5 linked regions of the Cricetulus griseus genome follow. The protein of the gene in region 5 purifies or fractionates together with the protein of the main gene of each other region. This does not show direct contact. Links are inferred from orthologs where the notes say so. Each region holds a gene or a part of one and is shown on either strand. Other genes may lie near its edges.

Region 1 (5,465 bases), on a different chromosome or scaffold from region 5:
CGGTTGTAGATTTGCTTCCCATGACTGTGCCAGGCAAGACACTGCATAGCTGGGCTAGTGATGGCAAAATTTCAGCATGGATTTTTTCCCAGCTCAGTACCAACTGGCAAAGTCATTAGGCATGCCCACCAGCTTCCCCGGTCTTGTCCTTTCATCCCCACAGTCACGATCAGATTGGGTTGTGTCTTGTCTTTTCATCCCCACAGTCACGACCAGATGGGGTGGTGTCTACCATATGTGTGTAGCTTTTGAGTTGTGAGTTGCACATTCATGCTAGAATGTGGTACTTTATACATTACTGTGACCAAATAACCGAGAAGTGGCAACTTAAGGAAGGAAGGACTTATTTTGGTCACAGTTTGAGAAGGGCTTGTGATCATCAAGGCAAAGATGGGGTGGCAGGAGCATGAGGCTGCTCGTCACACCGTGTCCACAGTTTGGAAGAAGAGAGAGTATTGGTCCTAGTTTTCTTCTTGTTGCTGTGATAAAACACCACCCGGAACCAGCTTGGTAAGGATGGGGTTTATTTGGCTTGCTCTTCTCCATCACAGTCCATCATTTAGGGAAGTCAGGCAGGAACTCAAGCAGGAACCTGGAAGCAGGAGCTGATGCAGAGCGGCGGGGGAACACTGCTTACTTACTGGCTTGCTCCTCAGGGCTTGTTCAACCTTCTTTCTTATAGCACCTAGGACCACATGCCCAGGGGTGGCCCCGCCCACAATAGGCTGGGCTTTCCCACATCAGCTGCTAATCAAGAAACTGTCCCTGCAGACACGTCCACAGGCCATTCTAATCTGGTGGAGCCAAATGAGATTCCCTCTTCCCAGGAAACTCTTGTTTGTATTAAGTTGACAAACAAACAAAAAACCCTAACCAATCCGTAGAGGGCAAAGGGAGAGGGAGAGCAAGAGATGGAGAGGAGGGGGAGGGAAGGAAAGGGGCGCATGGGTGCTTCCTCTCAGTTTCTCCTTTTCGTTCAGTCTGGGCCCCCAGCCCATGGGTGATGCTCACATTCAGGGCGGGTCTTCCTACTCAGGTAAACTTCTCTTGGAAACGCCCTCACAGACAGCCCCAAGGTGTGTCTCCTAGGTGATTCTAAATCAAGGTGACAGAGATCTCTGTATTTACACTGACATCTCTCCTTGGTGTGTCTTCTGCATTCACTGCAGGCTTACACACGATGAAAGCTTTTCTTTCAGAGATTTTGTTTTAAATAAAGACTCAAGTGTAACTCACCACTCATGTTCCTCCTTCCTCTACTTCCAAAGTGCTGGGATTACAGACAAGGCTCGTGACTGGCTCACGGATATTTTTTCTTCTTCTTCTAAATTTGTAACTATTAACTGTTTATTATAGAAAATATAAAATATATAACAGGGAAGCAAAAATTGCCCAAGATGCAACTCTTCATTCAGATGCCAGTACACAGCATGCTCTCTTCATCTCAGCATCCAAGACAATATGAAACCATTCGTCTATTTCCTCTAGTGAAGCTGGCACCCTGCCACACACCTTGCTTTATACTGAGCCTTTTCACTGGGTGGCGGTTTCTCCAAAGCTGTATGTATTTTACAAGGTGACTCCAGGCGTAGGGTGGAGCACACTGCTGACGCTGTGCCCTGGCTGTTTGGCTCTCTGAGACTTCGTTACTACTTAGGGGTGGTGGCTCCATTTCACAATGACAGTATCTTAGTCCCAACTTATAGACACAGGATACAGGTAAGGACCAGAGAGGTGGGGTTGCCCACTAGGACAGAAGAGGCACCAGGTGGCACAGGGTGTGGGTGGCAGCCCTTGACTTGGCAGCATGAGGAGCAAAGAGCTTGTTGGGTTTTCTTTTGTTTTTGTTTTTCTAGACAGGGTTTCTCTGTGTAGTTTTTGGAGCCTGTTCTAGGACTCACTTTGTAGACCAGGCTGGCCTCAAACTCACAGAGATCCGCCTGCCTCTGCCTCCCGAGTGCTGGGACTAAAGGCGTGAGCCACCACCACCCGGCTCATTGGGTTTTCTAATAAGACATTATTGTGGATGGTGTACAGTACCCCCACCCGAGGTGGGACACACTGCTTTCTGTTCCAGGCAATGGCAAGCTCCACACACCCCCACCCCTGCAAACCCTCCCAAGAGCAACAGTGAACTCAAGTTCGAGGGAGAGGCTATGGGAGTTGGGGGGTGCTTGAGGCAGTAGGGTGCTCTACCTGGTGGGCTGTTCCTGGGGAGCCTCTCTTCCATGCCCCATTCTCTCTCACCCTTCCTGGAGCATTTTTCTCTCACTCTGCATAGAGTATTCTCTGAAAACAGAAACAAAACCTGTTCTCATCTTCGGAAAAGGATGTCAGTAGCCAGTGGAGGGACTTGCTTGGGTGTCCCCTCTGCTGTCTGTGCCACTGCCGGGGTCCCTGGGCTTTTGGCTCCTTTGTATGAGTCCTTTCCATTTTGACCTCCCTGTGCTGTTCTTTAACAGGCAACCATCGGGATTGACTTCTTGTCAAAAACCATGTACTTGGAAGACCGTACGGTGAGTTCCCGGTCTCTGACCTAGAAGGGGGCATTGTCTGATTTATTCCTCCACAGCCCCCAGTTGGGCACTCTTGGAAGTCTCTGCCAAGGCCGGGGTGGACCTGGCAGTGCCAGCGTCATGGGGTCTGGGCCTCCAACTCCCTCAACCCCATTGATGCCTCTGCCTTGACACTCTAGGTTAGACTGCAGCTCTGGGATACAGCCGGGCAAGAGAGGTTCCGAAGCCTGATCCCCAGCTACATCCGGGACTCCACAGTGGCTGTGGTGGTGTACGACATCACTAGTGAGTTGGGGGCTGTGTTGGCATGAAGGAGCTCTTGGGGTTCAATGTGACTCTGACCAGACCTGTGTGTAGGTGAATATATATATTTGTGCTCAGTGTGGGGGTAGTGTGGGAGTTACCTTGGACCACTAGTGGGTTCACTGTCCTCCAAACTCCCGTGACAGACATGGCTGAACAAGACAGGGTCCTACATGTTGGGGAGGCAGACGCTCACAAGGCTAACCCTCTGTGCCCTCCATGGCCCTGGCTGACATATGTGCCAGCTCTAGGGCTTCACAGACTCAGTGGGGCCCAGAGGTTGGGACAGGCCTTATGCAGAGGCCAGCTACCCAAGAGCATCTCGAGGAACACACCTGGGAGGGCCTCAGGCTGGCTTCATTCATAGAGGATGCTATGAGGCTCCTGAAATCACAATGGGTAGGGACATGTCTGACCCATGGCTCCCACCTGCCACCTCAGGGCTGCTTTCCCCCGTGTCTTCCTGACTGCATGCTCTGTGTATGCCCTGGCGATAGGGGAGCTAAAGGACCCGTGTCACTGGCTGTGGAGAACAGTCACCTCCCTTCCTCCAGGTGCTGGGCTTGGGTGTCACCCTGTGACTCTTCTGAGGAAGATGCTGCTGCCCTTAGATGGCTTGCTTCTGGGTTCATGTGCCTCTGGGGTGGCCTTCCTTCCATGGGTTGCAGGTTCTCTTCCCAAGCCAGCCCAGCCTTCCTCAGACTCCCTTGAGCATCCCATGGAGGGACAGCATTTCCTAGGGGCTGCCATGTCCTCTCCTCAGCGCTCTGCAGCTCAGCCAGGCCCAGCGCCTTCCTTCCACCCTCTGCTGTGGGTCTCATATCAGCTCGGACTCTTGTGTGGCCTCTAGAGTCATTGTTCTGTATAGAAATGGTGACAGCCTAGCTTTCCAGATATGGTGACTTCTCTCCCTTGGGTGGCTGAGCAGTGCTGGAGGCTCTCCAGGGTCACAGGGCAGACTTCCCTGTATAGCCCCAGCCTAGTTGGGATGTGGAGATTGGGTTAGTGTCTAGGTATAAGCTTGCCTCTGGGACCTTTCCTTCTCACTCTGTCCCCACTTCCTGCCTCCAGATCTCAACTCCTTCCAGCAGACTTCTAAGTGGATCGATGATGTCAGGACAGAGAGGGGCAGTGACGTGATCATCATGCTTGTGGGCAACAAGACGGATCTGGCTGACAAGAGGTATGGAAGTGCTCTGGGTAGCTGGACTGTGCTTCCTCACCTGTCTGTGGCCCAGGAAGTCTGAGGTGAAGAGAACAGTAGGGCTTGCCTCCACGAACAGGAACACTGACCTGCCTGTTAGACCCCACACACTGCAAGCTTTTTGTCTCAAAGCTCCATCTTCCTCAGCCCAGCAAAGGCAGGGTGTGGCAGGGACCTGTCTGCACAGATGTTCCCATTACAATCCCATTACAGTAGCCTCTGACACAGTGGCCCCCTGGGCTGGAGCTCCTGTCCCCATGAAAGCTCTGCATTAACATGGGACCTGAAACCCAGGTCCTCAGGAATGAGTCTGTGGAAGGTCAGCAGAACACAGACCTTGTCCCCAGTCATCCTGATTTATCCTGTGTCTGGGCATAGAGTGTTACCGGAAGAGGCATCTTCATAGCTTCAGTGTCTCTGCCCACTAAGGTGTCCTTTCCATGTGTGTCTACTCTCAGAACTCTGTGCTGACTTGGACAGGTAAGGCCATGTGTCATGGTTTCTGATACAGCCCGTGGGCTTCTTACAGTATCCCTGCCATTAAGACATAATCTGAGTCAGAGATGAGAGTCAACCTAGAGGGGAGGGAAATGGGCTCCTCTGCAGAGCTGGGGGCCTGGGGGTGGGGTTACTTTTAATTTTGGTGTTTGCTTTAGGAAAGGTCACTGACGATTCCTCCCAAGAAAGGCTGTGAGTGTCTGGGAGTTCTAGTTCTAATGGCTTCCGAGAAAGGCAATGGGGATGTGGCTCAGGTGTAGAGTGCTTGCCTTCCATGCATGAAGCCCTGGGATCAGTCCCCAGCACTCATAAACCAGGCTCGGTGGGATACGCCTGCAGTCCCTGTTCTAGAGAGGTGGACACAGGAGGATCAGAAGTTCAGTGTCATTCTTTGCTATCTCACAAATTCAAGGTCAGCCTCGGCTACATGTGACCCTTCCTACCCCCCCCACATGTGGGGGGGGTAGCCTCACTCCCTAGTTCAGAAGACATGGAAGAAATATGGAAAAGGGCCAGAGTCCTCTATGCTCAGGCACCACCTTCTTACTAGACAGACTACGGCTGGCATTCTGTCAGGGACCCGTGGGCAGTGAGCCTGTCTTCAGGACTGACCCAGGGGGCTGGCAGGCTCCCTCTGTCCACCCGCAGTCCTTCATCTCAGGTTGCCTCCTCATATCTGCCAGGGTTGCCTCTCTGCCACCTGATCTCCTCCTCTCCCCTTCATTTCTAGGCAGATAACCATCGAGGAAGGGGAGCAGAGGGCCAAAGAACTGAGCGTTATGTTTATCGAGACCAGCGCGAAGACCGGCTACAACGTGAAGCAGGTGAGGACACAGCTGGCGATGTCCCTGTCTTGCTCAGGTCTAGAAGCCCTCACCTGGGACCTTCCTTGCCCTGAGTTGGCTAGTGACTAGGTCAGGGCAGCTAGCCAGTGCATAAACCTA
Region 2 (5,465 bases), on a different chromosome or scaffold from region 5:
CCATAAAAGCATAATTTGCCTACACACAAGTTTAGTTTCAGTGGATCCTAAAATACCTAAAAGTTAAAAACAGCAACATGGGGAGGAACTTCTTAATGACATATTAATTTATAGGACTGGTTAGTTTATAGCCAGTTTGGGAAAGGCCAGGAAACACACACTCCCCATAGTGAGTGGACATTCATCCTTAAACCCTTTAGAAGAGTATAAGTTTGGAGTTGTCCAATGACAATCATGAAGTTCCTGAAGGAACTGAGAACATGCCTCTCCTGGACACATCCCCAGCCTGCTAAGCTTGGTCTCTTGGGGAGGAAGATTGGGTAGGTGCCCAGATAGGCGTGTGGTTTTCGAGTATAACCCTCCATGAGAGAGCATGGCCTGCATACCGAAGCAGTAACTTACTTTGAATGGTCTGCCACTTTCAAATGGGAAAGCTGACTGTCTTTCTTCCCTTCCCCAGTTGTTATCCTGTTTGGTGTTGCACACAATGACTTTCCTGTTGTTTTCATTGAAGCGAGGGTTAAAGTGGAAGGCAATGTCATTCCCTCTCATGAAATTTAGAATAATCCTGTTTTAAACCAGAAAATTAAAGATATTAAAGTATGTATCAAGTCAAGAGCATCTCCGTTTCTAAAAAGCAAGCCTTTTTATAATATGTAGGGATTTCTGTACAGGAAGGAAATAAGCCAGAGTATGAGTTCCTACTCAAAAGAAGAGCGGGCCCATCCACATTATGGTGATCAACTCAAAACTCTAGCAGGGCAATACGTGTTGTCTGCTCATTGAGACAGGGACTCACTATGTAGCCCAGGCTGGCCTCCTACCTTGACCTCCTAAGGGCTGGGATTCCAAGTGTGTGCCACCAGCTGTTTTGTTTTTCATTTGTTTATTTTTTGGGGGGGTAGTGGTGGTGGTATTCATTGACTTTGGTGCCATCATTCCTGATCCTTCACAGATACACTTTTTTTGTTGGTGTTTTTGTTTTTCTTTCAAGACAGGGTTTCGAGCCAGGCATTGGTGGCGCACGCCTTTAATCCCAGCACTCGGGAGGCAGAGGCCGGTGGATCTCTGTGAATTCAAGGCCAGCCTGGTCTATAGAGTGAGTTCCAGGACAGGCTCCAAAGCTACACAGAGAAGAAACACTGTCTCGAGTCCCCCTATCCCCCTCCCCCACCCCCCCACCCCCTGCAAAAAAAAAAAGATAATCTTTATTCCCAAACCAATCAACAGCTTTGTTGGGTTGTTGGTATCACCCCGTGTACCTGTTTGCATTGGGCTTCACTGTGCCCATGATTGTAATCAGCATTCGAGGCATGACTCCTCCAGCCAAGGGCAGCTTATAGGGCACTGTCTGGGAACAGACAAGAACATGTGTGTATCAGTAAGGTATTGGGTTTGCTTGGGGAAAGGAAAACTACATTGCTAACGTTGTTACAATGCATGTGACTAACACAGAACCCTAGGCCACCCATCTACATTCTGAGGTCACCTTGCTCAGAGCTTAAAGTGATGAAGTTTCCTGTGTGCACAAATGTTAACTGGGAAATTAACAAATAAGAAGAAGATGTTCTGGGATCATCACTGGAATTGTTTCAACCCATTATTCATCCTTTGTCTAACATTTTAAGGTAGACTTGACCAACAGTCCCTTGTCACATGACATACAGCACTGTAATTCTGCTTCCTGAGAAAAGGTTTGTGTCACCTGGGGCTTCTGTGCTCACAGGTCACCAGCAGAGTGCTTTGCATATGAAAATCTGAGTATATGTTGAATGAACATTTTAGTTCATTTCACAAGTTTGAGCTAAGTGTTTCAGGTAGCATGGATACCCCCAGAACTCTGCCCCTGCCTCTAGTCTCCTTTATGACATTGCCTCCCAGGTTCAGCTGTCCCCCAAATTTTCGTTTCTGGCCCTGGTTTGCACTAGTCCTATATGTGCTTCCTGGAGCTGCTCTGTGGACTGGAAGCTCCTGACACAGGTATATGCTGGAGGTGTCTCCCCTGCCCCTTGCCCATCAGTTCCCTTTCCTGCATTCCCAGTTTGAGGCAAGTCTTTGCAGCTTTGAAAAGCACTCAGTGGGGTTATAGGTATGAGCCACCCCACTCAGGCTATTGTTTATTAATGATAAACTTCTCATAGTATAAAAATAATATAATAATACCATAATAAAATATAATTAGGTTTTGAGACAGAGTCTCTCTATTTAGGCCAGGTTGGCCTCAAACCTGCAGAGATCCACCTGCCTCTCTCTGCCTCCGAGTGCTGGGATTGAAGACATGTACCACTATGCCTAGCTCATTACCACAACCTATACTAACAAGTCACAGCATAAACTCAATATGAACCTTCCTTTTAACACATTAATACAGCCCTGTGGTTGGCCCTTAAGACAGGGCTCAAGCAGCATCCTTAAAGATAACCCCCTAACATCGTCTCCCCTGTCTATAAAGCCCATGAAACAACTCTTCCTTCTTACCAATGCTCCAGTGGGGGCGCCATAGGGGCCAGCAGCAGGATAGGCCCCAGGAGCACTGGGGTAGGCCCCAGGTGCTCCAGGTTGCCCTGGGAAGGCTCCAGGTGCAGATCCAGGGTAAGCTCCGGGTGCAGTTGGGCCAGGGTAAGCTCCAGGGGCAGTTGAGCCAGGGTAAGCTCCAGGGGCAGTTGGGCCTGGGTAGGCACTAGGAGGAGCCTGCCCAGGATAAGCCCCTGGAGGAGCCTGCCCAGGGTAGGCCCCAGGATAGGAAGCCCCTGGGTAGCCCCCTGCCCCAGGTTGGTATGCACCAGGCCATCCTTGAGGGTTTGGGTTTCCAGAACCAGCTAAGGCATCATTAAGCTGTAAATAAAAAACAAACAATTAGAGGATAGGACTCATTCACAAAATAAAATTCACAGTACTACAGGCATTTGTGAGCTAGGAAGCTGAGAAATAAGAGAAGGGTCACACTCTGCCCTCCCCTATGCTACTGTTTAGAGTCCCAAGGACTCAGACTTTAAGATTGTGCTTTTGCTGTTTATTTTGTTTTATTCTGGTCTCTTATCATCACAGGTCAGGGAGGACTAAATTCTTCTAATTCACACCAGGAACTGATCTTTTACAAGCCCACACTTTTTAATCAACATGAGAAACAGCTACATCTGTTGGCTGCTTCCAGCAGGGACATCACTGCTCTGCTACAGAGGCCATGTCTCTCCTTGGAATCTGTTGCTGGAAAAGCAAACCTCCAGCTAATAGGCCCGGAGCAGACAACTGAGCCAGATGGAATGTCATGTTAGGAGGGCCAAAGGGAAAGCTTAGTGGTAGAAATGAAGCCATTAACTGTATGGATATGTGGGGCTAAGAAAGCCAACATGGAATACTTACCGAAAAACCGTCTGCCATTTTCCTAAGAGAAAAAAAGCCAAAGGGAGTTGTTATTATTTGAGCCTAAAGGACTTTACAAACCTTCATGAGATTTAGCATCCCAAACAGTGGCGGACAATTCCAGTCTACAATGATTTTGCCCAAGTCAATGGTGTAGGACCGAAAAACATCTTGTGGAGGGGCAGGATACTTTCATCCTAAATTCCAAACCTACTTAAGTTGTGGAGTTAAACCTTGGTACTGGGATCTCATGTTCTGAATTCTGAGAGTAAAGCCTTGAGAGGCAAGGAGCAGGGTGAGAATTTCTGCCCCTTCTCTCGATGAAATACGGTACAAGGTGTGGCTTCTCTTGGCTGTCTTTACCCTTCAAAGGATTCCCAAGCAGCACAGGTCACCCCTCTTCTCTTCCCAGACCTTCTGGACACTGGAGGGAAGCTGTGTGTCAGCTCCTATTGAGATCTCCAAGACAGCTTGACATGGCTGCCGCCTGGTTATTTATCCTGCATTGGCACACATTGACGCCGGCTCTGAGCCCCCACTTTCCATGCAGTCCCAGGGCCCACAGACCAGCAGGGGACATGAGATGCATTCATACAAGGGTGTGATCAATGCTGCGGGACTCTGTTGGGACATTCAAATCTGAGAGTTTACTTGTGAGTTGGGAAGGGAGATGGCGTTGGAACAAAGATTTGATGGACAGGTGACATCTGGGAGCCTTTGGTTCATTGGATTTGGAGGTGTTTTCTTTTATGTTTTAGAAAGTCTGTCTTTCTATATAGCCCATCCTGACCTTGAACTTAGGGTCCTCCTGCCTCAGTCTTTCAAGTGCCGGCTGTGCTGTGAGCCACTGTGCCTCACTTATTTTAAAGGTACTTGTTATCCCAAATAAAATGTTCAGCAGTGTAGCAGCCCAACAAAGGGCAGCCAGGAAGCCATGGGAACAGACGCATGTGGGGCACAGATGCTGTCAGACAGGTTTGTCTTGCACAAAGCTGCCTCAGGGTTGGTTTGCAGACATACCCTGCTTCCTCCTGCTCCTGCTCCTGCTCCTGCTCCTGCCCCAGGGCCATGCCCATAAAAGCACCACCTACCCCTGTTGCAACAGCTCCCTCAGAGTGAAGACAGGAGGGCAGCTTTGGTTTGGGAACTACTTTCTTTCTTTCTTTCTTTCTTTCTTTCTTTCTTTCCTTCCCTTCCTTCCTTCCTTCCTTCCTTCCTTCCTTCCTTCCTTCCAGTGCTGGGGATTAAATTTCTTGCCTTGGCATATTTGGCAAACAATCTAGTGCCAAGCAACACAAGAGAGCTGCTTTGGACCAGGGTCAGTTCTAGCTGAGCTCTGAATCACTGCAGTCATTTTGTGACCACCAGAATGACCTGGACCTGGAAATAATCAGTAATTTCTGACTTCATTTGTCCACCTGTGGTATTTTACTCAATTATCCCAAGAACTCACATTATTAGGTGAATGTGGTGGCTCCTGCCTGTAATCCCAGCATTCTCTAGCATGAGGACTACCATGAGTTTGAGGCCGGCTTGGACTACATACCACGTTCCAGTGGCTCATTCTGGCTTTGAACACTATGGCAATCCTCCTCCCTCAGCCTCTCAGAAGGCATGAGCCACAGTGCCTGGCTTCATAATTTTCACAAGAAAATAAAACCTGGCTTGGGCGTGGTGGCACATAGCATTCAGAAGACAGAGGCAGATAGATCTTTTGTGAGTTTGAGGCCAGGCCTGGTCTATGTAGCAATTCCCTGCCAGCCAAGGCTACATAGTCCTGTGTCCATTTTGGAGCCTGTTAGAGGACAGTTTTCAAGTTCAAAATGGGCAGGGAGCTTAGCACTTTTGATTACTCTTTCCCCGCCCCTTCGGCAGTGTCTGGCTTCAAGCCCTTAGAGGCCAGTAGCACGCTACTAATCTATAACTTATGACAGCCCAAAATGCTTTCAAACATTGCCAGATATCCCCTAGGGCCAAAACCAGGTATGGTTGAAAACCAACCAATCTAGGCTGTTACCGTCTACCCTACGTAAAGGTGCAGAAGCAAGGCAATAAAAACTAACAAGAGTTTCAGGTTTTAAAACTAGCCAAGTTTACAAGGA
Region 3 (5,465 bases), on a different chromosome or scaffold from region 5:
GCCTCGGACTAGAAAGATCAGAGAAGGCTGGAAGCAGAGTTCAGTGGGAAAGCCTGGTGATAGCTCAAGTGAGGTGAGAGCTGCTGAGAGGAACACAGGCAGAAGGGCCTTCCCCCCAATAGCCAGGAGTTAGGTATCTCCATCCAAGCTAGGCACAGACAGCAGCTCAAGTGTATACCCAAACCATTCGTATCTCTTTTGGTAGCTTACTTCTTTTACATTAAGAAATTAGCCCTTTGCTTGCTATATACTATAAAAATATACTCTTTCTACTTTCTACTTTCTCAGGGTTTGAAAGATTCCCATTTATTTATTATTTATTTCCCTGTGTGTGAGCATATGCATATGTATGTGAATGTGCTCTTAGCCACAGCACATGGGAGGTCAGAGGACAACTTGCAGAAGCTGGCTCTTTCTTCCATGTGGGCTCCAGGGATAGAACTCTGGCCATCCATTAGGTCCACTGGCAGGCACCCTAACCCGGTGAGCAATCTCACCAGCCTCATGTGTTTTTAAATACATGACTACTTTTATTTAGCTATCTACCTATTTATTTATTTTCTATGTAGCCAGGGTTATGACACCCTGACACACCTGCTCACATTTTTCCAGTGCTGAGCTACAGGTTCCTAACATGATGCCTGACCTTTAACACATGTCTGCTGTTGTTCCTTTTGCCATATGCAAATCATATGTTTTTCAAGCAGCTGAATTTATTAACATTTTATGATTTTTCTAATTTATGTCTTCCTACTCCATTTAGAAAATATAACTCTCCACACTTAATTCTAGTATTTTAATTTAAGAAGTTACAGGGACTTAGGAAGAAAGCCCTGAGGAGCCTGAGCGTGGTGAGGAGGAGAACGGCTAAGACATCACCTCTGTGGAAAGTGGACGTCTTGACATCCTAACTCATTCATGCCTTCCCACGTGAACCTCAAGTGCAAACCAGACTAAACCTAATTCCTCTAATGCACAGACTTGGGGACCTGACATCAGAACCAGGCTCTGAATACACACAGCCTTTCTTTCAGCATCTCCTAGCACCAATCAACAAATCTCACCAGACATGAAGCTTATCTACAGCATCTGGACTTGGAGGGCAACTTCCTCTTCCTGGGTCTACCAATCTGAAGCAGAGTGGGTTTGCATGGAAGCCAATTGCCGTTTCTGACAGGACAGACACATCACATGATTCCTTTAAAGCAGGCTGCTGCTACTGCCCTCTGTAAAGCAGTTTGCCTGAGAGGAGAGGCATCCCCACCAGTCAGTATCTCTCTAAATCAGCAGGAGTTGATCTGTTGGCTTTTCTTAAGAACAAGACCCCAGTGTTCTGGACAAGTGGCCACACCAATGTTTACAAACAAGGGACTGGAGAAAATGGGAATGACTTTTCACATAAAGACAAAGAAAAAAACAGTGAGACAATAGCAAGCATTGACATAGACACATATGAAGCTGCCAGGTTCTCAATGAAGTAGTGACATAATCTACACACCACACCAACGGCACAGTCTACACACCACACCAACGGCACAGTCTACACACCACACCAACGGCACAGTCTACACACCACACCAACGGCACAGTCTACACACCACACCAACGGCACAGTCTACACACCACACCAACGGCACAGTCTACACACCACACCAACGGCACAGTCTACACACCACACCAACGGCACAGTCTACACACCACACCAACGGCACAGTCTACACACCACACCAACGGCACAGTCTACACACCACACCAACGACACAATCTACACACCATATCAATAGCATATCCACAATCTAAGAAGCACAAAGAACTGTGAGGAATACAATCATGAGGAAAAAGAAATCCATATTAGAATACAGTAAAACCAAATAGTTGAAAACTGGTAACGTGGGAAAATACTTTAAAACTGAAAATAAATGGCACACTAGGCAGGGCTCATTGGCCCACCATTATAAATTGAAAGCCTCAAGGAAAAGGGTGCCTTCTCAGAGAAAGCTGCCCGGCAGTGCTTAGCTGTTAGGGAAAATATCCTTCAAAAACTATGTTGATATAAACACATTTTCAGACATATAACAGCTGGGAGAACTCACTGGAAGCAGAGAAGAAAGAACAAAGTACATATTGCCTGTAAGAAACCCACTTTAAGGTCAGAAAGATGGCTCAGTGGGTAAAGGTGGTTGCTGCCAAACACGATGGCCTGAATTCAAACCCTAAGATCTGCATGATGGAAGGAGAGAAGTGAATACCTCGGGATGTCCTGACTTTCACACAGGCATTGTGGGACTGGTACACACATACACACAAGCACACAAAATAAAGTAATAAGAAATTTCTAAAATATTTGCCAAAGTTAAAATGATATTTCAGCAAGGAAGTGATTCAATGGTAGTAAAAAGACCAGATGCTAAGTGAGAGTAGGGAGATGTGAGTTAAAACAGTAGGATTTCACTGCAAACCTTTTAGAATGGCCAAAAGGAAAAGGGAAACGGAGACAAAATGCTCTAAATGAAAAGCAGCTGAAAACCTTGCATGGAGGTGGGGTGCAGAAGAGTACGGGCCTCAGGAAGGTGGCGCATCAATCCACACACACGTTTCCTGAGCAATCCAGCAAATCCGTTCCTAGGCGTTCACCCTCCGTAGGGGAAATTCATGTCCATCCAAAATCATCTGTAAATGTCTACCACACATTTACTTGTGATTACACTAAACTGGAAAATATGGCAGTTCTCCATTGATTTGTGAATGGGTGAACCAATGACGGCAGTCCCAGCACAGTGCAACTGCTACAGACAAAGGCACCCACACAGGGCGGCTCGGGAGGCAGATGGAGGAGCCACATTCTATGAGTCCATTTTACACAGTGCTTTGCCAAGCTGCAGAAACGGAAACCTCATTGGGTGCAGAACACGAGGTCCTCCTGGGAAGATGGAAATGCTGCTGACATCTGTGTGTCTGTCAGAGCCCACTGAACTATGCACTGCAAATGACCTTAGCAGCACAAAATTTTTACTTTAATGAATCTGAAAAAACATAAGTAGAACCCAACAAAAGACATAAGAAGATAATAACTGTGGAGCAGGTGAGTGAGTTGTAAGTCAACATTAGACAAGCAGTCACTATAATTCACTAAGAAAATGGGGGGAGGACAGGCATTTCAACAAGTGTGTGAAATCATTTTATACTCTCATAGAAATCAAAGAACATTTTTCTTTTTTTTTCTTTTTTTTTTTTTTAACTCGTAGGATTTGTATTCACATCTTGGTTATGTCTCCTTCCAGCTGGGATAGCAGGTGTCAGCATGCTATTTCTAGACCCAGTTATAAAATATCATGGCAATTTCAGGAGTGCTGTCTCCCTTTCTTAGATCACTACTTCTGAGGTGTGATCTAAGATGCTATGAACACACCTAAAGGGAGGCCAGATAGGGAATGGTAGAAACCTCCTGGGGTCAGCCACTTGAGCTGGTTAGGAAGTGGCAGCATTCCCATGAAGTCGGAGTCCCTCCTCCAGGCCACCTCTACACATCCCTGCCTCAACCCACTGAGGTGATGACGTGTCATCTTTGCCTGTAAGTTTGGGGACATTTGTTTTACAGCACAACCTAACAGTGGTTAAATACAAAAAGAAATACAATGTAGCAAATTAAGGGTTATGCAGAAAGCAGGAAAAAAAAAACTATGGCTCGTAGGAATAAAAGTACATGGTCTCTATGTAGAAATCACAGAACATATCTGAAGGACAAAGACTAGCTTGGTAGAAAGAGAGATACACTGGCATCCACACCACCCAACCTCAACCTGTAGGGACTCATCAACTGAATGCATTTCAGTTAAGGAAAACCTTCAGTCCCCCCCAGTGGAAACAACACAAATCCATGGCTAGTAAAGATAACTAATGCTTCAGTATGATGACATCATGAGTCCCACAAAGGCTTTATAAGATGCTGACAGGCAACCTAAAGCCAAGTCATTATTAAACAAATGATCAAACAAACAAAAACAACCAACCAACCAACCAAACAAACAAAAACCCAATCTGCACCTATAAAGAACACCACACACATATGAGGAAGAACAAGTCAGGAATCAGAAGCAAAGACTTGATGTTTCAGTCATGGATCTTCCTGTAGAACTGATACATATAGATGAACACATGATGAAAAAAGGGCAACAAAGCAAACATATTAAAGAAAATTTTAAATTAAAAAGAGAAACGCAGCATCCATTTCTGAAAAAACATTCCATACTAAATCATCAAAGCAAACAGTATGCTGTTAAAAGAGTTTCATTGGCTGTAAATGTCACTGACCCATCTTGGGCCAGTTCAGGCTAGTAGCTCAACTCTTGGCTTACCAGTCCTCTGGCTTGGCTGCGGTGGGGTCAGGGATTTTGGCTCTGTCATCCCATTCATCTGGCTTCTTATCGCTGGGATCATCAATTTCTCTGGGTGGATTGATAGGCGGGACCACATCCTCTAGCAAACTCCCTTGGTTCACAACTTTCTGATCAATGGATATTTCAAATGTATCATCTGGATTCATCACTAAAAAACAATTTTTAATACTTTATAGTCAGTAGTCAGACAGACATTGCAAAGATAATCTTCTAAACACTAAAATGACCTGAACTTTATGTATACAATTTTCTCCTAACTAGGAAAACCAGTGTATTGAATCAAAACTTGCTGAAATCACTAGCTACTATACTTTCTAAAATAAGACAAACTCTGCTTTAAACTCATTTTTAAATAATAAAAATTTTCATTATTTCCACAGATAAATCTACTCAGTAACTAGCTAACCCTGGTGGGGACTCCTGATCACACAGTGTCCCTCTTTACAGTCACAGAATATAACCCAATCTGCCTTATACTAAAACAAAACCCTCAAACTTAAAGGGTTGCAAGTATATTACAAAGAACTCAAGCTGTTTTAGAACCATTTGAGAGTTCCTGACCCAGTATATATTACCCCTAAAAATGTATTTCCTACAAACATACATTTTTCTACATAAACCCTATCAACAAAGTTGGGTTTATGTGACTTCCATTTCTCTTCTGAACTCCCCTCGCCCCCATTGGGTGCTTTATTTTCTCCTTGTGTTATTATTTGGCACAGCCTATCTCCCCAAAGATAAACTTCTTAAAGGCAGAGACATTTGTTCTCTCCTGAAAGCACAAGCCCTCAGCAACTCCATGGTTGACAAGCACTTGGAAGGAAGGAAGGAAGGAAGGAAGGAAGGAAGGAAGGAAGGAAGGAAGGAAGGAAGGAAAGAATGAGTGGTGTACCAAGGGTATAGAGGTGAGTCTTCCTGTCTGTAAAGAACTCTTTCAGATCAACATCTGGAGGTTTGGCATGCTTTTCTTCAAAAACTCCAGTTTTGGGATGTTTATGTCTGAAGATGAAATGAAGTTTATAATCTTCTCCACACTTGTCTGGTCCAAACATGACAGTATAGGATGTT
Region 4 (6,195 bases), about 41 Mb from region 5:
TGCCCAAGTAAATGTTTACATAATTCATCTTTTATTCTTTGTTTAAAGAGTCAAGGAGAGACTATTAATACCACCAACAAACTCGGCACAACTGAGGTGCCCTTCATGCTTCTGAAGAAGCAACTGAAGGGTAAGGGGACATGAAGAAAGCTAGAGATCATGAACAGACTTGAAACCCTCTCCAGAGAACGGAGATCTGTACATAAGAACACAGAATGATCCGAAATGCCCCGACACAGGAACGCAACAGTTCCACGTCTCCCCCCCACCCCCACCCCACCCCACCCCCGTTAGTGGTAAAACCAACCCCCTCTGACAGATCTGACATGATTTCTAGGTCATGCCTGAACTTCTGAACCAGATTACTCCTAATAGCATTATAGTTTCTCCATGGCTTTTATAACAGAACAGCAATGCAACAAAGACAAAACTTTATTTTTAGAGTTGGAAAACCCTCTGTTTGTTTTTCTACAACAGAAGAACTTAAATAACTGAACCTGGTCTGTTCAGATTTTAGAAAACTTATTTAGCCTCTCCTAATCCCGAGGCCTTGTCCTGCTCCCAGCAGGAAACAGAAGAAAGGCCCTTGAGCTCTGTGCCACGCTGGAAGTTGAAGCACCCTGCCTGCCTCCCTTCCTCCCTCCCTCCCGGGCTTTAGGCTCTGGCACAGCTGAGCCTCCTGCTGGTTGTGGTTCACACTGCTGGAGTCACCTCCTAGGCCACCTGCTGTATGGCAGGGACAGGCACTGACTTCCAAATGGGTTTGGTATTTGTACTGCTAACCTCTTGAATATAATGTTTAAGGCAAAGTGCTTAACCACAAACTCACTCTGAATCATTCAACCAGAATGAGAGGCCAAATGGGAATGGGTTTGTATTTCTCCATAAACATTTAAGTCCTTGAAAAACCCTATTCCAGCAATTTTTCAATAACAGGGGTTTCCAAATAGCCATCTCTTAGATGGGAAAACATGAGATCCATATAAAGCATACAAAAGCCCTCTCACATCACAAATGTGTAAAACCAACATGGAATAAGCCGGTTCATCTCTTGAATTCCTCAGGTAAATAAATTCCCTTTTTTCTTTCGTCTTCACTAAAATTGAGCAACCATAATTAACATCATTAACACAAGCAGAGAAGGCCTGGCAAGTGATCCAACTTAAACTAAAATGATTTTATTCCTTAGTTCACAAAAGAGGCCAACTCAAAATACTGTTTCCAAAGTCAAAGCTGACATTCTAACCGTAATGATTAACCACATAGGAATATAAATTAGTTATATGTAAATTGTTCTGGTCCTAAGGAAACCTGCATGGGAGAAGAGACCAACTGACTCTGAGGTGTAAATAGGGGAATCCACTGTTTCTTAGGGAAAGCAGCTACACAAACAATCAAGCACTTTACAAACCCTTACTCAGACTTCAAAACCAGTAGGCAATCCTATCTGACTCTTCTCTGAAGAGCATCTGCCTCCCTTCACCCCAGCCTCACTCAGCACACCCTAAAGGACCATTTATCCTTGTCTCCTAACTCATGAAGTCCTTAAGGACAGGGACCATTGTTTATTTATCCTTGTATTGCTACTAGACACCAAAATGCAGGGAATTTGGAAGGCCCTAAGACCTCAACTAGCAATTAAAAATTATGAGATTAGACTATGGAGTATATAAAAAAGAGGGGCAGAAAGGCCCACCAAACTATGACCAAAGCTTCTGGGAAGACTCTCTAGGCAAAGGAGACCCCTTGGAGATGGAAGCCTTACCTCAGTAGTAATGTCCCTGATTCACTCATCAGCATCAATATATGTTATGTGTATTTGTGTGTGTGTCCATGTGTGTATGTATGGTAGGCATTCAAAGGGTAGAGCCTGCCAAGGTGGCAGGTGAACACCAGAGCCTTTGTAGGACAGCAGAGACCCAGAGTAATCGCTGGGAGAATGCACAAACAGGAGAGGCAGCAAAGAAGTTCAGAGTGAAAAGACTTACATGGCAGGCAAAAACAGTTTTCACTAAGGACTCTGGGCTTTGAAAGCTCCTGGGGTTATTAAACCCTGACAGTGTCATGATGATTCATCCCTAGAGTCTTCAGCTAAAAATTATGAAATATACTAAAAGAACCTTGTCTACAAATATCTATAAGGACTACTTGCTTCTTTTACATACACCAACGTACACCATCACTACACACTCGCTGGTGGGCACACCTCTGCCTGTGAAACATAGATGTATACATACATACATACGTGTATGCATTTCTGGCGGTCTCATTCACACGGGAGATAAAAGTGGCTCCTTTGAGTGCCCAGTGAAATTATACTAATTGTAATTTTTCAAGTAGGAAAAATCAAGAAACCTTTTAAAGTGAAGGAAAAAAACTAGGATAACTTGAATCCTTTTTTTTTCTCTCTCCTTAAATATCAAGACTATGGGGCAGCAACAACCCCACTACGGAGTTCATATGGTTACATGATGGGGGGGCCCACTTTGCCTGGCAGCAGGGCTCACTGACAAAACTTTTAACTTTGAATCATCTTGTAGGTAAGGTTCTCAGCTGGAGGACAACACAATCCCCTAGCCCTTCACGTGTTTGGCTCAAAGAAATAAACGCCGGCTTCTTCCCTTTCGACTTTGCCAGGTATTTAAAAATGTAAGATAAGATGATATTAGTGAGCTGCCTAGGAGACACCGAAAGGCTGGGCGCGGATCGCGGACAGCCTCGAGTTTCATCTCAGCAGATACGCCCGGCACAGGGCAGGAAGCCAGCACGCACGCCCGCTGTCCGGCCCCGGGGCTAGCAGCAGGCGGCGCGCCTGCACGGAGGGAGGCAGGTACCCGGGCACACCGCGCGCAGAGCCGGGTCTCAGGACCGGCATGCGGCGGCGGCTGTCAGAAGGCCAGCATCCTCCCTGGCCTGGGCAGGAGCCTGGGCCTCCGCCGCTACTACGTGGACGGGCTACCCACCGATAGGTCACGGCAGGAGGCACAGGAGCCGCTGCGCCCGCAGGGTCTCCCAGGACGCGTTGCACCCGGCGCGGCGCGGGGGCGAGGAAGCCCAGGGCGGCGCCCCCGCATCCCCACCCCGCCCCAGCAGCCCATCCGCGTGGTCACCCGCCACGGGCTGCGGCCCCCGAGCTTATCGGGGCGGGGGGAGGGAGGGAGGAGGATGCGGCGTTACCGGGTCCCAGCTCCACCGCCCCGGCGATCCCGGAGATAAAAGTTTGCAGCATGCAGCTCGTCTGCAGTGCGAGTCACATCCGCCGCGCCACCTCCTGCAGCAGCCGCGCTCAGAGAAGGAAGGGATAAATTAAAAATTAAAAAATACAATAAAATAACTGTTGAAGCCGGTAGGCCCCGAAGCCGGCCGCTCTGCCTCCGGGCGTGCAGGAAGGCAGGAAAACCGCATCCCGCACCCACTCCCGCCCAGTCTCGGAGCCCGGCCTGGACCGGCCCCGCAGCACCCTCCTCACTGACCGATAACCTCCTGGAGCTCGTACGCGTCTCTGCAGATGGGCCAGCCGACCGCCTGAGCTGCCGGGGCCGAGGCTGGGGCCGCCGCTGGAGCCGGGGCCGGAGCTGCGGGCGCCGCCGGAGCCGGGGCCGGTGCTGATGTCGCGGCCGCCGGGGCCGCCACCGCGGCCGCTGCTGTCACCGGGGCCGCCTGCTGGGGAAGCTGGACGTGCACGGGCGAGCCGCTCGGCTCCGCCATGATGCTGCGGGAGGACAGTGAGGGGACGCGCCGGCGGGCGGACGGACGACCTTCCACTCGAAACTTCCCTAGCCTCGTTGCCCACACCTCTCGGCCGGCGCACGCCCTCCCCGTCCGCCGCAGCCGCCGCCGCCGGAGCCTGCCACGAGGGGAGGGAGCCGGAGGCCGAGCCGGGCGGAGGGAGGAGGCTGCGCGGCGGAGGCGGGACGGGAGGAGGCGGCGGCCGCGCGCCCGCCGCGCGCCCGAACCTCGCGCGCACGGTGCTCTCGGCGCCGTGGGGAACCGCCGCCCCCTCCCGCCCTGCTCGCTGCCGGGGAAGTTTCCAGGAGCGAAGAGGCGTGCGGCTTCGGGGGTGTTTTCGGGGCTCACCCCACTCCCTTCGTGCCCTCCCGGCACCTCCGCCCTAGACAATCGCGCTCTGCAGAAGAAGCCCCCCTGGGACTCCGAGGGCGGGGTCGTTGAACGGCTGCCAGGTTCTCGGCCGGCTAACTCTCCCCGGCTCAGGAACCTGGAGTTCTTTTACAAGTTAGCGAGTGAGACACCTACACGGCGTCGGTTTTGTAGGACGCCGGTTAAAATATAACCCGACTTGTAACTTTCCGGTGCTTTACCTCGCAGTATCCCTTTCGCACCTTGCGGAATGGAATCGCGGGGCTGATCTTAAATGAAACCCGACTCCCCGAGTCCCTGGCTTGTTCTTTTGTTCAAATCCCACTTAGATGTCAGGGGCTGTGAATTTACAAGAAGTGGAGAAGGGCTAGGAGTATAACCTAGCGCTGGCCTAGTGTGCTAAGGTTCCTGGTTCTATACCCCACCTCACCCCACCCCACCCCCCAGCACCTTTTGTGTACTTAATACCATGCTCAGTGGTATAGTGCCTGCCTAATAAACTCCTAGGTTCAATACCAAGTACAAATAAATACATGAACAGTCACATTAACCCTTTAAGACCCTGAGACCAGCTAGCAAGTTTCTTTGACAGAACATAAGGATACTTGCTGGGTCATAAATGAACTGCAATGGAAAGTTTTAAATAAATGCTGCTTTTTCAACACTCCCCAAATTACCTCATCTTTAAAATAGCTGTGGCAAAACCAGAGATCTTCTAATTGCAGGTGTCACATTTGAATGCTCAACTCTGTTCCCTCACAGAGTGACCACGATGAAATGATTCTTGTCTCTGGCTGGAATGCTGCTGTGACTCAGTAGCCTTATTGGTTCTGTGGCTGGCTTTAGGCTGATGGGGTCTCAGGGAGCAGCAAAGTTTGAGAAAGAACAAAGCACGTGTAATACTCCCTCAAACTCTTAAAGGAATAAAGATCTTAAACTTTTTATAAGATAATTCAGAAGAAACGTCGACTTCTGCTAGGAGAAGAACCAGTTGTCTAGTGAAAACAGTGATGCAAACTGATGGTAAGTTTAGAACACTATGGAAGAGTTATGATATAGCAACTCGCACGTTTAACTAAGAATGTGTGCTTCCTTTTATGCAGATATGCTATTTTTAAAAAGCAAGTATATTCATTTTAATTGCTGTCAAGACTACACTCCTTTATAAACAAAATCTAAGCCTCTGATGAACACGGGGTGGGGGGCGGCTCTTCATCACAAGCCCTGCCTGCCCTGTTTACCAATGCATGAGCTGCTCCTATCCAAAGAACTTTTAAGGACTGCTTTTAAAGGAAAGCAAGAAAGATTAATTGAGCATGCCCCCTACTTCTCATAGAAAGTCATATCTTGACTTTTGATCATGGGAGCCTTTAGACATGGTAAGAAAACATGATTCAGGGGTCCCAGTCAAACACAGATCACTTTGCTACCCACAAAGAACAACTGTCCCCTAGTCAGACTAGATACCTGCCCCCAGCCCATTGCTTTCAAAATGGCAACCAGGGAAGCCATTTGTAAGAATTATCACGAGCTCAAGGTTATTAGTGATTTTAAACTGAAGACTGGGTTTCAACATAGGAATGAAAGCTCCAATATTATGGCTGGGAAAGGGACGTTTACCACGGGAAAAAAAATTAATATGACACAAAACATGGCTGAGGTTCAAAAACCCTGGTTTGAATGTAAAGAAAAAACAATCCCGTCATTTGGGAGGCAGGAGCAGATAGATCTCTGTGAGTTCGAGGCCAGCCTGGTCTACAGAGGGAGTTCCAGGACAGTCAGAACTGTTAGACAGAAAAGCTCTGTCACAACAACAGATAAATAAATAAACAAGCAAACACATAAATGAGAAAAATAAATAAATAAAAGAGAAAACAATGCACCTTTATCTTCCCTCTCTGCTTTCAAATCGCTGAATAAATGATTCCTATATGCATTGAAAAAGATTTATGATTTCATGGTATCCTTGACCAGAAACACAATTTAAATTTAGTGATCAATTTCCAGGCAAAATCAAATGCCTCTTAAATACCTATATTCTTAAGTGTTAAGTACAAGTACTAATTTCTTTGGTTATTTATGGAAACATTAACTTAA
Region 5 (5,963 bases):
CACTGGCCACTCTGGATTGCACTATGTAAACCAGGCTGGCCTTAAACTCACAGATCTACCAGCCTCTACCTTCTGAGCACTGTATTACTGGCTGTCCCACCACACCCAGTCCCTGGACGTTTTCTAACTACCAACTCAGTGAAATCTGTCTGGTAGGAGGTGTGTCTTCTTTGTTTTTTCAGTATTGAATATAATTCTGTCCTTACAAAAACAAATAAAAGATTAGCATTCTGTGCCACCAGCAGTGCAGATCAAAATAAAAGACTAACCTGGAAATAGTAGTAGTCGATATGGAGGAGAAAAGGAAACTCATGAATCTAGCAAGGACTGAAAAGATCGCCTGGATAGTAACATCTGAGACATACCTTTAGTGAGCTTGATTATCAGTTAGTGTTTGCAGAAAGGAAGAAGAGCGGCAAGAGTGAGCTAGGTGGTAGATATAAGTAGATGCAAAAATTGTGCAGAAACGCCAGTGTGTCTTTTTTTTTTTCCTCATTAATGGAAGTTTAAGCCTGGCTTTCGATTTTCAAGGGAACGGGAACAAGAGGCAGGAAAGTAGCTACACTGAAGATGAAGATTTACAGGCATTTAAAAAGAGACATCTGAAATTTTACACTGACGCCCGGCGCCAGCATGTCTTTATAAAGTCTGATATTTGAATGAACTGCAAGCCTGCCTTAGAAAGTAGATCCCCCGGGGATGGCTCCAGGGCTTCTGATACATTCATACAGACATAAGCAGGCAAAACACCAATGAACATACATTTAGAAAGAAAGTAGCTGGGTGGTGGTGGCTCATGCCTTTAATCCTAGCACTCGGGAGATCTCTATGAGTTTGAGGTCAGCCTGGTCTACAAGAGCTAGTTCCAGGACAGCCTACAAAGCCACAGAGAAACCCTGTCTCAAAAAACATATAATATATATCTCCTTTATATGTGAGTAAGTGCACCGCTTCCATGCCTTGTCTTCAGCAGTTGGATCCCCTAGAACTGAGGTTACATGCAGTTATGAGCCAAATCATGTGAGAACTGGGAACCGAACCAGCAGGGTCTTCTCTAACCATAAGCTGATTTAACTCTTTGCAAGTAAGAGGAACCAAGGATCCGGGCAAGACTCCAGCTAGTTTCCACATTTTGATCAAACCTATAAGAAGTTTTCAAACGAAAGATTATGGAACTGAAATTTATTAAACATCATGATGCACTAAACACTAAACATATCTAGTTGACAGTTTAAAGTAGGTCAAACACTGGAAATGGAGTAGAACAGATACCTCAATGCCTTCTCAATGTCTATATAGTTCTCTTTAATGGAAGTTTAAGCCTGGCTTGGGATTTTCATGGGAACAGGAACAAGAGGCAGGAAAGTAGCTACACTGAAGATGAAGATTTACAGGCATTTCAGAAGAGACATCTGAAATTTTACACTGAGCATCTCATCTAGGATAAATAGATGTGGTAATGGGAGGTTTGGGTGCCATAAAGGTAAGGTTTCCAGAGAGACTCTAATTAAAGATGACCCCTGCGGTCCCGGGGTAAATGGGCATTGACTGCCCCTGAGCTGCATCCAGAGTCCACGCAGCACAGGTGACACGAGAAAATGCATCCCGCCACACACGTTCAGACCCGGAGGCGGACTGCAGTTCCCGTCGTGCTCCACGTGAGAGCCGCCGGCCCGCGCAGGCGCGCCGCACGCTCGCTGTCTCGGCTCTGCAGACTCCGGGCGGGGCTGCTGGTGCCCGCGGGACGGCGCCGCCCTCCAGCTGCTCCCCAGACTTCTCAGGACGGTTAACCTCGAATGAGGAACGAGCGGGGCGGGAAGGGGAGGGCTGCGGCGGCGCGGGTACTGCCCGCCGCGCCCGGGGCGGGGGGCGGCGAGGTCACGTAACGGCCTCGGGCGTCTGCCGGGGAGGGGGCCTCCTGCGCGCCGCGGCTCCGAAACAGTTAGCGGCTAGTAAACAACAGCTGCGCGCGCACCCGCATCAGCTGGCGCGGGATCCCGCACCTGCGACCTCCTCCTTAAACCTAGCCGAGACCAGCCTGCGTGGCCGTCTTCTCGGCTGAGACCCAAGGAGAGCCGGCAAGAGGCCACCCGCGTCGGCCCGGGGGAAAACGCGTCCTGTCACACGCGGCACAAACACGGCGAGAGTCGTGGGCTCGAGAGACTCGCGACGACCTGCCACGACCCGGAGCTGCCCTGATCCGCTAGTCGCCGCCTCCAGCTCCTCGGTCAGGAAGAGATCTCGAGGAGGCAGGAATCCACTCTGCCCCGGCATCCTCTCGTTGCTCTCCTTTCTCTCCATCCTGTAGTGTGGGGGTATTTTTTTCCCGTTATGCATGTGCACCTCTCCCACCAGACCCAAGTGGATTGTCGACCTCAAAAACATCGGGTGGTTCAGCACACACCTCCTCCCAGCCAGACCTGTGGGGTATTCACCTGATACACAACAGGTGGCCGGTGCACACCTTTTCGCAATCTGATCCACGCTATAGTCGCCTGATAAGGGTGGGCCTGCATGCTGTTTCCTCAGCTAGAACCGTGGGACACTCCGCAGATAAAGGACTAACTACCTCACCAGGACCTGGGGGTTGAGCAAGAGAGAGGCGTCACCAGCTGCTGTGAGATCATGGCATGGAGCCCTCAGCCCTGGACCAGGGGAGATAGCTAGGATTCCGAAGGAGCCAAGTTATACAAGATTAGCATCGTTTTGTTCTCATTGTTTTTCAAAAATTATTTTTCAGTTACTGGTGGTGTACTTTATAGAACAGTTGCCTTGAATTCTAAGTAGAAGGATTCTTAATTGGGCCTTTGTGGGATGTAAATCAAGGTAATTGAGGTTTTTTTTTTTTTCAAGTTTTCTATTTTTGCAATCAAAAGTACCTAGCGTAGGAGGAAGAGTTTTTGTGAGCTTTTCCTTTTCTCTTTCTGGAAAAGGGGGGAAAAATGCATCCTCCAGAACCCACCACCAAGATGTCTTCAGTTCGGTTCATGGTAACACCAACCAAGATTGATGACATTCCAGGTTTGTCCGACACCAGCCCGGACCTCAGCTCTCGATCTAGTTCCAGAGTAAGATTTAGCTCCCGAGAAAGTGTGCCAGAGACAAGCCGTAGTGAGCCTATGAGTGAACTGTCTGGGGCCACTACTTCTCTGGCAACTGTTGCCCTAGATCCTTCCAGTGACCGGACCTCTAACCCCCAGGATGTGACTGAGGGTAAGTAGAAACCAGAAGACAGGGTGTTCCAACCCCTGGGTTGTTCATGCAAGGTAATTACCTACTCTGTTTTATAATAATCACCAGGAATTAAGGACCACTTTTCTGTGATGCTTAGGAGCCTGGGAATAATAGTGGCCATAGTAAGTCACTGCAGTGGTCACTTGGCCTTTTGGAAGATATCTGGCAAGAAGGCAAGGGAATGCATATTTTGATATCCTCATTTTTGTCTTCTTATAACTAAAGTGACTATTTTTGGTTAGAGACAAACAATTAACTCTCTCACAACACAGAGAATCCTAAACTGTTAACATTTAATGGGCTGGGTATGTACTTCCTAGACAGCTTTGAGGCTTTGACTCTTAACAGTCAGCTTTTGGGCAGGTTGCAAGGATTAGCTACTGCTTACATCTTAATGGCTTCTTCCAGAGATTTAGCTGTGCGCCATAATTTTTTTTAAATTTATGTTCTTATAGAGTGTTTAAAGTAGCTAAGTTCACTCAAGGAGATGCTATTCTTTTGAATGGAACTTGCAAAGAGGCTTCTAGTGCCCATTCCCACGTCACTTGACTGCTGAGCTTTAGACAAACTATGTTGTGTATTTTATTGGGTTTTCGTAGTCAGGACATATAGGAGCCTCTTCTGCTCATATTGACTGCTTCCCAAACTTGACCTTGAACTTCATAGACTGGCTTATGTTAGAAGTTTTCATTTGATTTAGTTTCATGCAAAGAGAGATAAGGCATCTGTTTCAGACTAAAGAAAAAAGTTTGAAAACGGCCACCTAGTTTTATGCCACATCCTGACCAGTGTAATCTTTCTAGTTAAAAAAAAAAAAAAAAAAAATCCCTTAAGGTTCCTAATGACTCCTAACAATTCTGTTCTACTCAAGTTTGAAAACATGGCCTTGGCCACCAACTTGTGAAAGCAAGAGTGACTTGCCATTTCCGGCCTCAGGAAATACTGTTCCTCCTGACCTTAAGTGTTCCGGAAGCCAGAATAGTTTTAGTTCCTCAATTTTGTTTATTTTTAATGTCTCGAGACAAGATAGACTTGATAAAGCTTATAGTTCTAGAATTCACTAATCCTTAACTAGTCATTTTTTCTTTTATGTCAGTATTATATGTTAATTCTTTTTTTGTCCCCCCCCCCCCCCCGCAGGGTTTCTCTGTGGCTTTGGGGGCTGTCCTGGAAGTAGCTCTTGTAGACCAGGCTGGTCTCAAACTCACAGAGATCCTCTGCCTCTTCCTCCCAAGTGCTGAGATTAAAGTCGTGCACCACCAACACCCGGCTATGTTAATTCTTGCTCTAACTGCTTTCCACTGCTTACTAAACCTTACACTGGGTTATATTCTGAATAAAAGATTATAATTTCTTCCTTTGCCAAATTTTTTTATTTGTTTGCTTATCTATTTATTTTTGTGACAGGATCTCATGTAGCTCAGCTTGACGGTAAACTTTCTGTGTAGTCAAGGATAATCCTGAACTCTTGATCCTCCTGCCTCCACCTCCAAAGTGCTGAGATTGAAGGCCTTCTCAACCACACCCAGATTTATGTGATGCTGAGGATGGAACTCAAGGCCTCTCATGCACTTTCTGAGCTGAGCAACATCCCCAGCCTGTACCAAATTACTGCCAGATTACAGTTTTAGTCCTTAATCCATCACACTACATTTAAATTGATAAAATGCCAATTCAAAACTATAGTCTAGACAAGTCCCTTCAAGGAGTTCTGATACCTTTTTTGATTCAGTCCTGTATTCTAGTAAATAAAGTCAGGTTTTCCATCCCTATATCCCTACTCTAAACCATGACTACAGTACCTACACCACTTTGTTGTTTTTATTTACATACTATCTTTCCTGGCCAGGCTGTGAAGTTCTTGAGGACAGTTTTTGCACCTAGTATATATAATATGTGATGTCAGTTCTATTTTGTACTCAATGGTGAGTTGAAGAACTTCCAGACATATCTAAAGAGACAAATTCAACAAAAGTTAAAAAGATAAGCTGATAAAGGAGATGAATAGGAAGTGTTGAAGCAGAGAAGCTTATTCTGATGTATATTGGAATTACCTAGAGCTGTGGGTCATGACCCCTGGGGAGTGTCAAACTACCCTTTTATAGGGTTACCTAAGGCCATCAGAAAACACAGATATTTACATTACAATTCATAACAGTAAAATTACAATTATTAAATAGCAATGAAAAATAATTTTATGATTGGGGTCACCACAACATGAGGAACTGTATTAAAGGGTCACAGCATTAGGAAGGTTGAGAACCCCTGAGATAGAGAATTGTTTTCAGTGTTTCTGTCCTAGTCCCATTCCTAAAGATTCTGGTTTATTTACATTAATATTAAAAAAAAACAAAGATCTGTTCAGTTGGTTCAGTTATAAAGCAAATGCTGACCACAGTTCAAAGGGAAGAATGATTAATACCACATACATGGAAAACACTTTCATATCTGAGCTGGCATTTGAAACCAAAGGGCACCGAGTGGTTAAGGCACATGTAGCTTTTTCTTAAATGTCACAGGACAGTACAGAATGTTTATCTACACTTGGAATCACTACTTTGCATATGAAAGTTAACCCTCCTCCACTTGCTCTCCCAGTTCTGTGATACATTATGAGTAGATCTCATCCGATCTCTAATGTGAGGGCTAAAGCCCAGTAGGAAACTTGGAAAGTGGTGTGCTTTGCTTTTCAAAGGACCGTGGTTTTAAAATACCAAGATCTTTTATTT

Evidence for each region.
Region 1: the proteins of Slc12a6 (region 5) and Rab6b purify together in Homo sapiens (affinity purification with mass spectrometry; 4 studies listed by BioGRID and IntAct, with this or other methods). This does not show direct contact. The link is inferred for Cricetulus griseus from reciprocal best matches to the Homo sapiens genes SLC12A6 and RAB6B.
Region 2: the proteins of Slc12a6 (region 5) and Lgals3 purify together in Homo sapiens (affinity purification with mass spectrometry; 3 studies listed by BioGRID and IntAct, counting the BioPlex papers as one, with this or other methods). This does not show direct contact. The link is inferred for Cricetulus griseus from reciprocal best matches to the Homo sapiens genes SLC12A6 and LGALS3.
Region 3: the proteins of Slc12a6 (region 5) and Clgn purify together in Homo sapiens (affinity purification with mass spectrometry; 3 studies listed by BioGRID and IntAct, with this or other methods). This does not show direct contact. The link is inferred for Cricetulus griseus from reciprocal best matches to the Homo sapiens genes SLC12A6 and CLGN.
Region 4: the proteins of Slc12a6 (region 5) and Stk39 purify together in Homo sapiens (affinity purification with mass spectrometry; 3 studies listed by BioGRID and IntAct, with this or other methods). This does not show direct contact. The link is inferred for Cricetulus griseus from reciprocal best matches to the Homo sapiens genes SLC12A6 and STK39.

What each region holds. Positions count from the first base shown.
Region 1 is NC_048597.1:211,400,777-211,406,241, forward strand, and holds part of Rab6b (ras-related protein Rab-6B), read left to right. Parts: intron 1-2,462; coding exon 2,463-2,516; intron 2,517-2,695; coding exon 2,696-2,801; intron 2,802-3,890; coding exon 3,891-4,002; intron 4,003-5,251; coding exon 5,252-5,345; intron 5,346-5,465. UniProt on the Homo sapiens protein: The small GTPases Rab are key regulators of intracellular membrane trafficking, from the formation of transport vesicles to their fusion with membranes. Rabs cycle between active GTP-bound and inactive GDP-bound states.
Region 2 is NW_023276807.1:203,422,109-203,427,573, reverse strand, and holds part of Lgals3 (galectin-3), read right to left. Parts: intron 3,386-5,465; 5' UTR 3,382-3,385; coding exon 3,364-3,381; intron 2,836-3,363; coding exon 2,479-2,835; intron 1,352-2,478; coding exon 1,263-1,351; intron 569-1,262; coding exon 403-568; intron 1-402. UniProt on the Homo sapiens protein: Galactose-specific lectin which binds IgE. May mediate with the alpha-3, beta-1 integrin the stimulation by CSPG4 of endothelial cells migration.
Region 3 is NC_048596.1:159,051,367-159,056,831, reverse strand, and holds part of Clgn (calmegin), read right to left. Parts: coding exon 5,290-5,465; intron 4,546-5,289; coding exon 4,356-4,545; intron 1-4,355. UniProt on the Homo sapiens protein: Functions during spermatogenesis as a chaperone for a range of client proteins that are important for sperm adhesion onto the egg zona pellucida and for subsequent penetration of the zona pellucida.
Region 4 is NC_048599.1:106,732,959-106,739,153, reverse strand, and holds the start of Stk39 (STE20/SPS1-related proline-alanine-rich protein kinase), read right to left. Parts: upstream 3,902-6,195; 5' UTR 3,709-3,901; coding exon 3,474-3,708; intron 1-3,473. UniProt on the Homo sapiens protein: Effector serine/threonine-protein kinase component of the WNK-SPAK/OSR1 kinase cascade, which is involved in various processes, such as ion transport, response to hypertonic stress and blood pressure.
Region 5 is NC_048599.1:66,075,950-66,081,912, reverse strand, and holds the start of Slc12a6 (solute carrier family 12 member 6), read left to right. Parts: upstream 1-1,961; 5' UTR 1,962-2,942; coding exon 2,943-3,213; intron 3,214-5,963.